Linked DNA regions of Styela clava. The protein of the gene in region 2 interacts with the protein of the main gene of each other region in a biochemical or structural test. Links are inferred from orthologs where the notes say so. Each region holds a gene or a part of one and is shown on either strand. Other genes may lie near its edges.

Region 1 (8,026 bases), on a different chromosome or scaffold from region 2:
TAACACAATCCATTTTAGTAGAATTTTCTACTTCACGATCGCTTCCATGTTTTTGCCCAGATGAAGTCAGCAGATGATTGAAGAGCGCTCTTTCAACAAGGCCCCACACTGTTATCGATTCAGGGACGCCCGCACACTCTAAAGAAGCTTTCAGCATTTCCAACTGATCTTTAGGATCTGGAATAAATATCCAATAATTCTGTAAATCTACATAATCTGCAGGGGTGGACAAGCCATTTTCATTTGAGTTATTCTCCCTCCAGTTCATTTTAAGTAGGGTATCAGAAATATCAACCAAAACATAACCTTCAGAAGACATAGATTCCAGAAGTTGGCAATATGAGCAATACATTTCAGGACTATTTCCAAGATATATAACATCAAACCCAATTGCAGGCTCCAAGGCCTTACGCAATCGTTTTCCAAAAGATAATATTCTTGTAGCTCTTTCTCGAGTTTCGATAAACAAATCTCGGACAGCCCTACAGAGTTCAAATAAGTAACGTTTTTGGTAACCATTTTGACTTATTTGTTTGTAAGACAACCACGGAAGAGAATTTGCACTAGATGATGAAGATGTAGTAGATATTTGTCTGTTCATATTGAACTCTGTTGGAGAACTAACTGGTGTCACCGATTCGGATGACTGAACAGAATTATGACGTGATAAATGTGGACTTTCAGAACGTTGCCTGTGGAACCACAGAACACCAGCTTGAGCCTTTGAAGTATGCTTAATAGAATCTGAAATTCTTCTTTCTTTTTTCAAATCTTTGTAGGGATTTTGTTCAGCAGGTGAGGGAGTTTCCATATCGGTTTGCGACTCAATTAGAGCATTAATCGCACTAACAATAAACTCTCGGGTTGAGTCAACAATGTCTGCAGATATTCGAATAAACCTGCTCGCACACATAACAATTCCGTCAAAATCAATCAGTGGGGATATATTGTTAGCAAAGACCCATTCCTGTTCCAAAATCTCCTGAAAACCTCGAGGAGCATGTGGTAAATCACCCAACATTTTAACCAACCATGCGTTAACAAAATCCAGGTAAGTTGTGAGCATGCAGCGCAAATCTGCTTCATAATCAGCCATAGATAAGGTGTTATCTTCATCTTGCTTATCTATGTATATATCGCCGATCAAAAAATTCAAAATATCTCTAGCAAGCAAACCACATTCAAGCATTTCCTTAGATTCGGCCACAAGCTGCTTTGCAGTTAAAAGACATACAGATGAGCCACTGTTGTTAAAAAATGGCATGGCTTGTTTCATTCGCAAATGCATACATTGCTTCATAATGGCAAACAGAACTCGAGGGAAAAAGAGATATAAGGGCTTGATACTTGGCAAATTAAATAGAGCAGTGTTGCAATCGGATGGAGATACAGCAGACGCTTCAACAATGACAAAATCTAATTGATTTCCTTCAAAAATATTTCCGTGAGACTCAGAAAACACATTGTTAATTTTTGTCAAAAGATTCGAAAGTTTTGAAGTTTGATCCTTGCGAGTTGACTGTGACACACAGTTTAGGTGTGTCCATACATTCGCAAATGAAACTTCTCTTTCCTCCTCGCAACCAATTAAAAACTGAACTGAATCAGAATCACCATTGTGGTCCATAAAATCACTCTCATTTTCTATACGGGACATCTGAGGGGTGGAAATATAGCATTGTTTTGGAAGTAAGTTCATCTTTGCACGAAAAAGTCCACTGAAATGCTTGTGAATAAATGTATGCAGGATTGATTTAACAGCCTTTCTTTTTAAAATTCGACTCGTGTATTCACTTATGATACTTTTAAATGTGTCCACACTAAGGTATGAAGGTATTTCATTACTTGTACTGCTCGTTTCCTCCTCATTTTCAGAAAGGCCAGTTAAATTGAAATGGAAAAGGTGTAAAGCAATATTGAGTTTTCCTTTTAAATCTGATGTAGTATTATACCAACAACAGAGTGATTCGATTTTCGACTGAAATTCTTCACTACTGTAATATGGGTATTCTGCTGATAATGTAGAGGATGAGGGATATAGATTTTCAATTATACAAAGAAGTTTTAACACCTCTCCAACTTTGCTAAGAGCATCTTCTTGTAGTTGAATATACTTTTTGGTAGGAAATAAGATATTGGTCTCAAGATCATATTCAAGACTGGTGTCATGAAAAAAACGATTGGCATGCGGTAATGCTTTGGGTGATTCTATATCTGATATATCTTTATCAGATTGTTGAGACACCTCTAAGTCAGAAACATTACTTGACATGTAGCTGTCGCATTCTTCACATGCCGCTTCGGGTATCTGCTCTAAAGTAGAATCTATTTTTTCTTTCAGTTCCTTGAGATAAGTGATGTAGTTACTATCAAATTGAAACACAGACACAAATGATAAAACGTCCATCACAAGACAATGTCGCGCATTGAACAATATTTGATCCTGCTCCATGAGCGAGTGATCATTGAACCACGCTTGCAATTCAAGCCAGATAAGCTCATTTCGTCTTAATCTGTACATTTGTGAGGTTTTATGATCAACTTTGCTTCGATCAGTTTCCGATTGGTTCTGTTTGTTATTCCCTGCCGTGACAACCTGTCTTAATCTTTGCATGTAACGATGCCTCATTTGTTCTGTTGGAGAAGGCTTCTGAAATTTAATTTTAGATTGGTTTTTACGACCTTTGCCTTTCGATTTTGAATTAGATTTTATATTATCGCTGACAAAATCCCTTTCAGATACACATGAAGTTGACAGACAACGAAGTGGGCGACCACTTCCAAGCATAAACATATCTGATTGGACAGAAGCTCGTCTTCCAATAACAATATCATTGTCACCAAAAATATCATCGCCATCTCTGGCTGTTGGAATCGAATCCCCTCTTTTTGCATCTCGCTGATGGGAGCGGATCTCAGTTTTCTTTTTTCGCATTGAACTCCTTGGGCTATTTATATATCGATGATCTTTTGAACTAAACATGAGATGTTTGTTTTTAGGGTCAACTTTCCACGCATCCGACCCGTTCGCAGCGGCACCACCAGATTTTGCATTTTTTATTTTGCTCCTAGATCTTCTCCTGGGAGGTGTAGCTTCTAACAGGTCATTCACATCATAATTCATTACCACGATATTCTACATAGCAACCGATGGCACTAACTGACTAAACATAAAAATTAGAATTGATGAATATTGCAACAAAAGTCAGAAAGAATAAGTAAAAAACTGGCAAGCATTTCACTACTGCACTATATATCACATACAGACATAGGGACAGCCACATTCAGACATTCCCAAAATTTAGTATTCGGAATACAGGAATAGATTGTAAAACTGTAAAATGACAAATGATATTTCTGAATGCAGGAATTAGAAACATTAAACATATATCAAATATCTGAATATATCCCAAAATGAAAAATGTTTACCAAAGAATTTTATATAGCTACTGTATGCAAATTTATAGAAATTGAATTTAGTAATGATTTAAAAGGTTGTAATACAGTAATAAGGGGTCTGGTATAGTTTAGTACCACATGCACTTCTAGTTGGCCTGGCTCAATAATTTTTGCATATTTCAATTCTAACCCCCACCTGACTACATCACCGAAAAATTACGTCATTTCGAAGTCACAGTGGCGTAATAGGGCCCACCAAAGTATGCGGATGGTCGTCCAAAACGCGCAGACTATCACCCATAATTGAGCAAGCTATTTCTCTTGTTCTCTCGCCACAACGATCACGATAGGAGAGAGATTGCCAGCGTTAGCGAGATCGTTATCGGCGGCGCAGATGCCATTTCGGGCGATCGTAATTATACTTCGGCAAGCCCTATGACGTGATGGTGACGTCGTAGTGAAGTTTTGGATGGCATTGTCAGGTGGGGGTTAGGAATAACATATGCAAAATTCGTTACGCTTCGCCCACTGGAAGTACTTGTGGTACCGGTACTAAACTATACTAGACCCGTAGTTGGCACTGTTTTAATTAATTGAATATGGTACCCTACCAATATATTCAAAATCAATAATCAGCATAACAGGTGATAACGTACCGTAACTGATAAAAACAAACACATATCAAAGAATCAAGAGGGCAAACCTTAGGCTTTTTAAAGATTAATAAGGACACATGGAATTTCACATAAAAAGTCGCTGCCAAACGAAGTGGTACCGGGTACGGTACCTATTTGCCACGCCATATTGCTGTATTCTGGTACCGGTACCGGTATCGGACATCGGTACAGTATTGATCTATCGGAGGATGGCGAAATTGAATACCGAATTAATAAACAAATATTACAGCTGATTCTTGTTGGAGTCTACTGATACTATATAGTATCCGGCGTATAGACTACCGTGCCGAAATCATTGAGGTGGCCGAAATTCTAAATAGCCCAACCGTAACTGCCACAAGTTTACGTTGAAGGGGTGGGATAGCTCAACGAGTATACAGTATATATGCTCATTGGCTAGCTAGACCAGAGTTTCCCAAGGCCAAACTAGGGGCAACCCTAAAATGCGGGAAACGGGAACTACGGGAAATGCACTAAAATGCGGGAACGACGGGAAATTGCAAAAACTAAAATGCGAGAATGACGGGAACTACGGAAAATTTCACTAAGAAGCGGGAATGACGGGAAATCGTTTTAAGATACGGGAAATACTCATTTTGTAGTATGTTTAGGGGAAATTGTTCTAGGAAACAAAAGCAACGGTAAATATACGCTTGGGGGTGTATGTACGTGAAAATTTGTCTAAAATGCGGGTATGACGGCAAATCGCTTTAAAGTACGGGAAATACTCATTTCAGAGTACGTTTGAAAGAAATTGCACTAGGAAACGGAAGCAACGGGAAATATACGCTTGGGTTGTGTGGGTACGGAAATTTCACTAAAAAGCGAAAAATTTCACAAAGAGTGGCAGTGACGGGAAATCACTCTGAGATACGGGTAACATGTATGTTAGTACAATTACCCCGTACATGCACACTCAAGTATAAACGACACTCCGTAAGTATGTGCAACAAGATGACGCCAACCTGAACCCAAACCTGGTATACATACTATGTTCAGGTTGTGCGCCATCTTGTTGCACATACTTCGGGAGCGTTGTATAAACTTGCCGTTGCTTTCGCTATTCAATGCATATTTACCCCACACATACTCTAAAATACATATTTCCTACACCCTAAAGCAAATTCCCGTCATTCCCGTCTGTTGTGAATTTTCCCGTAGTTCCCGCAATTACAAATTGACAAATTCACGTCGTTCCCGCAGTTACCGCTTTTTAGTGAATTTCCCGTCGTTCCCGTTTCCCGCATTTTAGGGCCCTAAAATGCAGGAAATGGAAATGACGGGAAATTTTACTAATAAGCGGGAAAATGTTACGAAATCCGGGAACGATGGAAAATCGCTCTAAGATACGGGAAATCTGCAATTTAATTCAAATACCCCGAACGTGCACACTCAAGTATAAATAGTCCGGCAGAAAAGGGGGCCTTTTCGGCCCAAGTTTGATTTCAGACATAAAGTATTTTTTATTTGTGATTATTCATCTTGGGGTCATTGCCCATCATTTCTACATGGGTGTGGAGTTTGCAGCCTTGAGCAATTTTTTTTACGGCTCGATATTTGTATTAGTGTTTTCTCGTGAAACCTGTGCATCATAATGACGCACAACCTGAACCATAACCTGTTACAATACTATGTTCAGGTTGTGCGCAATCTTGGTGCACAAACTACGCAAGCACCAAATTTACGAAGAAATAAAATCAATACCTTTTAGGTATTTATTGAGATATTTGTATTAGTGTTTTTCGTCAAACATGTGCATCATAATGACGCACAACCTGAACCATAACCTGTTACAATACTATGTTCAGGTTGTGCGCAATCTTGGTGCACAAACTACGCAAGCACCAAATTTACTGGGAAATAAAATCAATAACTTCTAGGTATTTGTTGAGCACAGCTTTGGGTCGCGACCCATATACAGTATATGAAAATACTGTCGAAACATACGCGTAAAATAAAGAGTACTATTTCAAAATACCCGTTTTTGTTGCAATTAACAACACAAGCCTGCTAATGCAGTCGCCATTTGTTCAAGTGGATATACACCCGGTGGAGAACAGTCAATTATTTGTTAGCGAGAATTGTTATGCAGCGGGATGATCACGACGACGCAGTGAAAGATAATGATATCACGAGAACAAGAATGAGAAAATTGCTACATTTTATAGTATATCCCTGGAAAAGAATGTAGTTCATTCTTATGTTCCATGCCAATGCTTTTCAAACTGCCAAAGACTCTCAACACTTTTGCTTCTTCTCTTCTATAAAATCCCCCCTTTTGAGAAAACCTGTCATGAACTAAAAGAGGCGACCGTGATTCTCTTGCCTGTTGTCATGCTGTCCCAGGAATTCTGCTACAACAAAAATTTCACAAAAACGAATTTTTAAATTTTATGGTTTTATTAATATTCTCAACAATGAATGATATACGGGTGGTAAAATGCCAAGTTATTCCAACAACATGATCATGTTTTGCAATTTACAACCAATATTTTGTATGTAACTTTGTTTGACAGAGCCCCAAGAGCTCTAACTACAAATATCAAAAATGTGAGGCCAAAAAAGTCACACTACAACATTGCCAAATGTACTGTATTTACCATAGATAACAGGTTTACCAAAAAGAATTACATGAAAAATGGTAAAATAAAGATCAATTCAGCAATATATACTTGGTGATATGCATCTGTTGATGATTTCAGGTGTTTGTTTCGGAAGTTTAATAACAGAATTAATTGTGGTTGTTGGGGATGTTTTAAAAAAAGGTTGCATGGAAAAAAGGTTTTCACAAAATGTCAAGGTTTGATAGTAGTAGAGAAGTAGAAAAAATACTCCCATGTTTTTTTTTTTCATTTGATAACCACGCCACAGAACTTCCCCGATAAGTATACGCAGCAATTGCGAGAGGCAGAAATGCCAAGATGGGATTTCATCGCATTGCAAACCAATATTAGCAATTCTTATATATATTCGCGCATTCCCATCTGAACAGCGTGGAAAAGATTATACCCATCTACACACTTTAAGAGCTATGTCAGATGAGAGTCATATTATCGAATATCAGTAAAGGAATAGTGCAATGGGAAAAGACATATAAGGCGGAACTTTCAGTAGTATGCAATCAAATAATCTTATTGTAGAATATATATTTAAAAACATTTCGTCACGCCAACTGCAGTCCGAACCTTTTGTCTCTGGCTGAGCTTAGATACCAATTAGCACTCATATAAACTGGTAAGACTGTAAGAGGCACGCGATGGAGCAGATACTAAGAGTATCCATTCCCCAGCTGTCATTTGAGTGGGTACTGCTGTTTTTATTGCAGATTTTACTGATCTTTTTGTATTAAAGATTTACTGGCATCACCGATTTAAGGATGTTGGAAACCAACCAACCATATTACAAACATTACTTTCAACACGCGGTTTAAATGAATAAAAAAGCTGAAACTAGTATTCTTTAGAACAGCATACAAATTCTATGGAATGAAACCATACACAAAAGCTCGTCAAAAACCTATAGCTCAATAATCAAGTGGAATTTGATGCATGTGCGCAAAAATGTGCGCGTTACTACGTACAACCGAAGCACGCAGGAAAATGTGTGTGATGTACTAGTATTCAAAACGTTTCACTCAACTGTGTTAGCATAACGGGTGTACATCTCGGTTTCGCACACGCATACCTTCTATCTCCACAAGGATATATTAATTCTGCCAAAGTCAATGCAGCACTGAAAGGTTGCGGCTTTCCCAAAAGAAAACACGTTACACATCTTTAGATACCAGTGGATGGTTTTACATGGCCTTGTTCGGAGTGAAAGACGAGGTCAAATATTCCAATCCAATTCAACTAATAAAATATTTCCCAAGTCCCTAAGCTTAAACTAGGAAAACGAAATGCGCGCAGCAACGCAAGTGTAGTTTGAAGAGCGCAATAGAAAGTGGCTAG
Region 2 (8,199 bases):
TTCTTTTTATGGACATTGACATGTAATGAATCCAACCAGTGATTTAAAATTGCAATAACAATAAGCAATTCACGACATATAGCTGCAAATTATAAATAATGAAGAGAGATTAGCATTGCAAATGCCTTCAAGTTCTGTGATTGACAAGGTAATATCTCACATACGCTTCAAGTGCAGCTGTTATTTTACTCAATGCAATAATGAAAGTCAACACTGAACACAAAAGATTAGAGTGAGGAATGTGAACTATTGAAAACATTCCAAGTACATAACCGCACAAAACAATGTAAGATGATTACTTTGTAGAGTAAACACAAAAACTGAAAACACATTTGGCCCTAGGTGAGTTAAAACCTAGTAATCTAAACAAGCAATCAGTGGGTGTTTCTTATTGAAGCATTCTGAATTAAAACACATAGTATGCCCTACGAACGAAAAAGTAATACAGTATATAGGGAGAAAAACAACTGATTCAAATTTAAAATCCTTCCAAAGGAATAGTTTGTTTTCGAATATACTACGACTATATACCTTAAGCAATGACAGATTGACATAATCAAACGTAAAAATAAAAATTGAACAAAACTTTGATGATCGAGATTTTCTAAAACAACTTTTTCAGGCATTTTAACTCTAAACTAAAATTGTCTTTAAGAGACAATATTTTAGAATATATTTGATTTAAATTTGACAACACCTATTGATTGTTATGTTACACATACACAGGTGTCAAGTTAATTCGAGTTTATTTCTTTTTTAACCAGTATGAAAAAACTACACACAAATTAAGAGGTGAAAACACAGTTTTACTAAGGAAGGGAAACTGTATATCTAATCAAAAAGATAATCAGTGAAGACTTTATTATATCATGAAGAGAATTATCAAGTGCTGATTAACGAGCTACATTCCCCAAAAATCAACCGAATCTGGATCTTTGTATATTTTTTGATGAGCTGATTTTTAAAATATTTCAATATGTGGAAAAGCTAAAGTAATTATTCTTCATTCTTTTTATGTATCAGATATCTCCTTCCAATCTTTACAGAACTATATGTCACACTTAGATATTTTCCTAGTGCTGATAATATAACAAAAATTATCTGTTTAAAAATACCTATTTTACCTTTAAGTAATTCAGGGCTTCAACAGTTGCCACGGCAATTTTCCCCAAAATTTCTTCAGGAATAACACTATTTAATCTTTTATAAACAAATCGATAAAATTTGTCGAGAGAGGTAGACATCAACTCCATGCATATCCAACAATCTCCTTCCCAAAATAATGCGCCATAAAATTGAACTATGTAGGGACAATCATTGCTTCTCATAACCTGGAAGAGAAGTGGAATTTTTATTGAATGATTAGAATACGGGGTCTGGGTTAAATAGATCTATGGAGTCATGTTCTTCTTTAATGAACAGAATATTGTTATAGACAATAAAATTTTTAATCAATATGAGACCTTATAATAAGTGATGAGAATATAAATTTAGCTGGACTTTTTACAAACAATGTCACATAAGTATGCGACAGTCAATTCAGAATGGACAATACTTTAAATGTGATATTATGTCACGATGTCAAAATTGAAACATTTCAAGCTAGGTCATGGGATGGCGTTGATACTTAGAAACCAATATATTTTCCAAGTGTTTCAATTTGAAATGAGAGTCTTTATCAAGGGAGGGCAAATCACGACCCGCGGACCAGATCCGGCCCATCGAAGTGTTTCATCCGGGCCACTTATCTCTTCTGAAAATATGACTATAGATTTTACGAATATAAATTTCCATGGGAATTATCAATAAAAATAACACATGGTTGGCTAAAATAAATACTGTAACTCCCTGCGTATTATCCGCACCCGAACATGTGCTGTGCAGAATGAGTCACTCACCCATCCGAAATTTAAGCCTACAAATTATGTTTCTAGGGCTTTTTTTGTGCGGCCGTGGATGCTGCAACACACTTTTTTCCTTCTGCCCATACATCAATTTATGTGAAGCATGCAGGTAGGCAATTGTTATCATCGACATTAGTTATTTGTAAATAATTTTTTTCATTCATGGTTTAGGTTCAGCCCAGTAACCAAGACTTTTATTTGTAAGTGGCCCACTTAGGGAAGTAATTGCCCACGCCCGGTCTAGATTAATGATATGATTGACATTTACCATCATTTTCAGGAATTAAACAAAGTGATGCGTAAAACTTCAATTTCTCAAAACATTCATCTTTCAAGTAAACTATTTCGATTCACTCCTGAAATCATGAATCAAAAATTTCTAATACAATCAATTTCTAAATGACCCGAATAATCTATTCATTTCGGAAACTCTTATATAAACGACTACATCAACCACTCCAAAGACGACACTGACCACATCCAAATCCATGAGAAGCTGTCTTTGTTCTTTCTCCTCCACAGTGGATCGGATTCGTTTCACAGCCATCTGTTTACCGCTATCGTTGTGTCTCATACGATTTACAGTGCCAAAAGCACCACGGCCTATTTCTCCTTCATCCGTCAAATCTTTCGAAGTAAAATCATACACCTGCAAAAGTAGGAAAATAATTCTCAGTTCTAAGACAATGGAAAATTCATAACACATTTATCAAATTCATCACATACTTCTCACTATTGGAAATGAATTATCTGTAGACTGTATTTAAAGCTGCAATTGCACCACAAACTAAATACTTCATATCGAATTTATACCATACTAGTACATATTGTGTAGAGCCTCGATTTACTGAAGCAGATTCATTTAGGAGTTTAGATGGTTAAACAAGAGCCATATTGTGACTACTTGTTTGGTTTTATCAACAGTTGAGTACTTGAGTAAAACGAAAATGATCAGCTTCTCAGATTTCATCGTCCAAACAATAATAATTTGAATGCCATATTGCAAAAACTTCTATTTCTAAAAAAACTGTGGTATATCATGAACAATATTCATTTTGCATGTCCCGAGTGATATCAGGATATAGAACATTTTGATCAGTTGACATTTTTCCGGGATCTGGAAATAAATCTATGAGATATGTAACAGTGCTGTTCATCACCTGTGAAGGTCCTATGATGAGTTTTCCGATGCTCGATAAATTTTCTGGAGTTAAAATTGGTTGAACTGGTGGTCTTACAATGGGTACTGGAAAATTAGGAGTTATCCTAGCTTGTCCTGGTGATACACCTGCATTTCCAGGCGGCAAAGAAAATCTCAAATTTAGACTTGGTCTTCCTCTTCCACCAGATTTGTTCAATGGCAGATTCATTACTACGACACCGTCAGTCAGACAGTCCCAATTCTAGAATTCAGATGTATCAAAGCTACATTGGTTGTTATTAAACTGCGAAAAGAATAAAAAAAATAAGAAGAGTAGGCTAGGTTCGAGATAGATTATAGACTGTATAAAAGTTAAAAAGTTTTAATTCTGAAATGAACCACTCTTCTGCAAGCATCCTTTACCCAAGATTTTGTTTGCTCTCCTGATCCTGTAATTCATCCTGTATTCTAATAAAGGATGAGGCCTATTTAAGTTTAAAAAGTGCAGGCATAATTTGCAGACCGAACAGAAATGTGATGTGAAATTTTTATGATTAAAAAAAATCCGTATGGCGCGGTATGACTGAATGATAGACGAGTTTCTGCGTTCAGTTAAAATCGACCCCGCTCCTGCACTCCATTTTCAAATAGTCTGGTATCGTACGGTACGGGACCGGTATGTCGTATGTGACGTACCGTATGTCCCATTCCTTATATCGCTAAGAAAATTAACAAGCGACCCAGTTTTGTATCGCGACCCATAGGTTGAAAAACACAGCCCTAGGCGTTATTTCAACTGCCTTTGAAGCTAAACGCAAAACAGAAAAATCCTTCACATCCCAACACTGCAATATCAAACCGGCTACTAACAGACACAGCACACAGGTCCACTAGTCTGTCTGTAGGTGCAATTTGGAAAATCAGAAATTACTTACGCTTTGCGCCTCTAGCGTTAATCAGGCTTCATAGAGAAGCACGGGGATTTTATTTGCTCTTTGTGACTTTAAATTTCAATAAAGCGACATAAGCATGTATGAATAAGGAGAGATATATGGTCCAAATCGTTAATAGGCCAATTATCTGTTGCAGATGCACGGAAAAGGCTGAATCGAAAAAGGTTTCAGATTCACCCAACGAGTATAAACTCGTCATTTGGGAGTGTTCTGACAAAAATAAAATTGTATACATATTAGTATTTAGAAGTTGCTTGCAGTCGCTTACTCGCTTGTAGTCGGGTTTGTAAAACACACGAGAAAGAAGTCGAGAAAACGATGTCTAACGAAATAGTCTTAAACCTGGCAACGGAACTTTATTACACACGTAAGGGATCTATGGACTGTTTTGCTAAATGCTTTCGTTGTTCTTGTTAAAGTGATTGCTGCTGGAGAAAATCGATTTTCTCGGCAATTAATAAACAATCGGCAATTAAAAATTGTTTTGAAAGAATTCGTCGGAGAGCTAATACTTTTTTTTTTTTAATTTTTTATGGCTGTATGGGGTGTGACAAAAATTCAAGATTTTGCTGTTTTATTTTACTTCAAGGCAATACTCAAACATTTTAGGATAGGATAGGATCCCGGGGGAGAGGAAATCCGATAAGACGGCTTATCCATATGGCGAACCACGGCCTGTCGTCCGGTTACCATTCCAAGTCGGGTATGGGATTAGTTATATATATTGTTTGTTTCGGAAGCATGGACTTTAATCCGTCACGCTTATCCGTCAATCTCTTCAGCAAACTCGTTGCTCTCTCAATATAACTTTTCAGGGGGAAAATATATTTTGGTTGTTGTTTGTATAGGTGTTGAGAAAAAAGTTTTCTCTGTCGTTTCACGACGAACACATTGGCAGCGCATTGACTGCACAATCCCCTAAGTCAGGCCTGCACAACATACGGCCCGCGGGCCGCATGCGGCCCTCTAGATACTTCTGTAAAGCCGCATTGTTATGCAAGCGCGCCGCTACCCCGATCATATTCGAAATTGTGAAATTTATGTTTTGCACTAGTTTCAATAAATATCGAACTTTGTGTGAAACTGGTGTGCCCTTCGTGACCCCTAATATTCGTTTCTAGACCCCTCGCCCCCCCCCCCCTCCCCCCTAGTTTGGGAAACCCGGATTTAGATATCTCAGTATTGAGTATTCAGACTGAATCACGCACAAAACAATATCGGTATACAATCTCACACCCATTAGTGCATATAAGCAACCTACTCGCACAAAAGATATTGCTATTTACTATAAAATTTCAAATAAATTGGAGCAGATTTTGTAGAAAAATGTAATTTAACAGTCAAAAAACTGCAACAGAGAAAGATCTATTGCTACTAAAGGGATTGTTTGCCTAACCTACAATGGAAATATCCAATAATGGTAGATATGAAGCGAACTAACTTCTTTCTAACAAGAAAAAGACTTTCAATTATGTTGATGTTTAATCCATAACAAAGCAATGTTAACGACAAGCGAACAGAAAACAGAATGACAAGTTATCGTAAGAAAAGCACGTAAGTAATCATGCGTGACAAAAACATAAACAAAACAATTGTGACTCATAACGGCTATTATTAGTTAAGTGGTTCGCCACACTACCCCCCCAGACGGAATGAGTTATAAAAATCTAGTGGGTTTACGAGTTTTTCTACCAAATTTGGTTCTGTAATCATAACCGGTTGTAGGTTCGGATGAACGATCGTCTGTAGAACGCTGATTGTTCGTTGTTGTTTTAGGGATTGGAGGACGTCCTCTTGGTTTAGGAATGGATACAGAAACAGGATGGTCGAGATCAAGATGAGCTGGCTTTAACCTGTCAACAGAAATAGTTTCGCTTCGGTTTCCAATCTGTACTTTGAAAGTTTTATTCCCATGTTGCAAAACTTCGAATGGTCCTTCATAAGGTCTTTGTAAAGGAGATCGGTGTGCGTCACGACGAATAAACACGAACTTGGCTCGATTGAGTGCGGCTGGCATTCTTGCTCTGAAAGGACCATGGTGCGACGTAGGAATTGGAGCCAATGATCCTACTCTTTCTCTGAGAAGCCGAAGATTTGTGGTCGGGCAGCTATTGTCTTTAGAGTCTGATATGAAATCACCGGGGACAGTGAGGGGAGCGCCATAAACAAGCTCAGCTGACGATGCCGTAAGATCTTCTTTCGGAGCTGTGCGGATTCCCAATAAAACCCATGGAAGCACGTCCAACCAGTTTGAATCATTGAGTCGTGCCTTAATGGCAGATTTCATTGTTCGATGAAAACGTTCTACCAAACCATTTGCCTGTGGGTGGTAGGCTGTAGTGTGATGAATTTTTGTTCCCAATAATTCGGCAACAGCAGACCAAAGGCCTGAAATGAACTGTGATCCTCGGTCAGAAGAAATGTGAAGTGGAACACCAAAACGGGCAACCCAATTTGACAGGAAAGCTCGGGCACAAGACATAGTTGATATGTCTTTGAGGGGAATGGCTTCTGGCCACCTTGTGAAACGATCTACTATTGTAAGAAGGTAATTGTATCCTTGTGATGGTGGTAAAGGACCAACTAAGTCAATGTTGATATGGTCAAAACGTTTGTCTGGCATTTTGAAATCTTCTAAAGGGGCCCGTATATGACGATTTATTTTAGACTTTTGGCATTCCAGGCATGTTTTGGCCCATTGTCCAATTTGTTTGGAAAGACCATGCCACACAAATTTTTGTGAGATCAGTTTGCGAGTGGTACGTATGCCTGGATGCGAGAGCCCGTGAACCGCATCAAAAATTTTTCTGCGCCAGCTGGCAGGCACTATAGGTCGTGGTCTACCCGTAGATACGTCACACAGCAATGTAAATTTGCCGTTGCAAAAAGGGACATCTTCGACACGAAGGCCGGTGATAGCAGTGCGGTAAGCCTGTGTATCCTTGTCGTTTAGTTGATCTGTGGCCATAATTTCATAATCGATGCCGTCATTGATGTCGTTGATGACCGCGCGCGACAGGGCGTCGGCGACAGTATTATCCTTACCGGAAATATGTTGTATATCCGTTGTGTATTCAGATATGAAATTGAGGTGACGCTGTTGTCGCGCTGACCATGGCTCAGAGACTTTTGTCATAGCAAAAGTGAGGGGTTTGTGATCTGTAAAAACCGTGAAGGGTCGTGCTTCGAGAAAATAACGAAAATGTCGTATTCCTAAGTAAACGGCCAAAAGTTCCTTGTCGAATGCACTGTATTTCGTCTCGGGTTTGCGTAGCTGTCTACTATAAAATGCGATTGGCTTCTAAGATCCATTTAACTTTTGCTCGAGCACACCTCCTAAGGCAACGTCCGAAGCGTCGACTGTGAGGGCAGTTGGTGCGTTTGGTTGTGGATGTATAAGCATAACTGCATTTGCCAGTACTTTCTTAGTTTTTTCAAATGCACATATCATACTGTCAGTCCATTTGGGCAAAACCTTCGACTTCTTGGGCAGGCCGGAAAGTGCTGCGAATAGTGGTTGCATTATTTGGGCAGCTTTGGGCAAAAACCGATGATAGAAATTAACCATGCCAAGAAACTCTTGAAGGCCTTTTACAGATGAAGGGCGAGGGAAATTAGTTATCGCCTTCACTTTATGGGGGAGAGGAAAAGCACCCTCTTTTGTAACAGTATGTCCCAGGAACTCTAATTCGCTTAAACCGAATTTACATTTGGCAGGATTGATAACCATACCGTGACTTTTTAGCCTTTGGAAAAGATTTCGCAAGTCCTTTTTGTGTTGATCTTTAGACGTACTGGCGATAAGGATGTCGTCAAGATAGACAAATACGAAAGGCAGACCTCGACAGATGGTATCCATTAAACGCTGGAATACCTGGGCGGCGTTTTTAAGCCCAAACGGCATGCGGAGAAATTCAAATAGGCCAAACGGTGTGATAATGGCAGTTTTGGGGATATCTTGTTCATGAATAGGTATTTGATGATAACCGCGAACAAGATCCACTTTAGAGAAAATTGTCCTTCCCGCAAGACGGGCCGTAAAATCTTGTATGTTTGGGACTGGGTAGCGGTCAGGCACGGTCATATCATTGAGACGTCTGTAGTCTCCACATGGGCGCCACCCGCCGTCCTGTTTAGGTACGATGTGAAGCGCAGACGCCCAGGGGCTATTTGAGGGTCGGATGATTCCGAGTTCAATCAT

The links.
Region 1: the proteins of dual specificity mitogen-activated protein kinase kinase 4-like (region 2) and mitogen-activated protein kinase kinase kinase 4-like form a complex in vitro, tested with the Homo sapiens proteins (2 studies listed by BioGRID, with this or other methods). The link is inferred for Styela clava from reciprocal best matches to the Homo sapiens genes MAP2K4 and MAP3K4.

The regions. Positions count from the first base shown.
Region 1 is NC_135252.1:8,152,485-8,160,510, forward strand, and holds the start of mitogen-activated protein kinase kinase kinase 4-like, read right to left. Parts: upstream 3,186-8,026; 5' UTR 3,125-3,185; coding exon 1-3,124. UniProt on the Homo sapiens protein: Component of a protein kinase signal transduction cascade. Activates the CSBP2, P38 and JNK MAPK pathways, but not the ERK pathway. Specifically phosphorylates and activates MAP2K4 and MAP2K6.
Region 2 is NC_135258.1:10,668,814-10,677,012, forward strand, and holds the start of dual specificity mitogen-activated protein kinase kinase 4-like, read right to left. Parts: upstream 3,365-8,199; 5' UTR 3,275-3,364; coding exon 3,065-3,274; intron 2,554-3,064; coding exon 2,380-2,553; intron 1,332-2,379; coding exon 1,125-1,331; intron 1-1,124. UniProt on the Homo sapiens protein: Dual specificity protein kinase which acts as an essential component of the MAP kinase signal transduction pathway. Essential component of the stress-activated protein kinase/c-Jun N-terminal kinase (SAP/JNK) signaling pathway.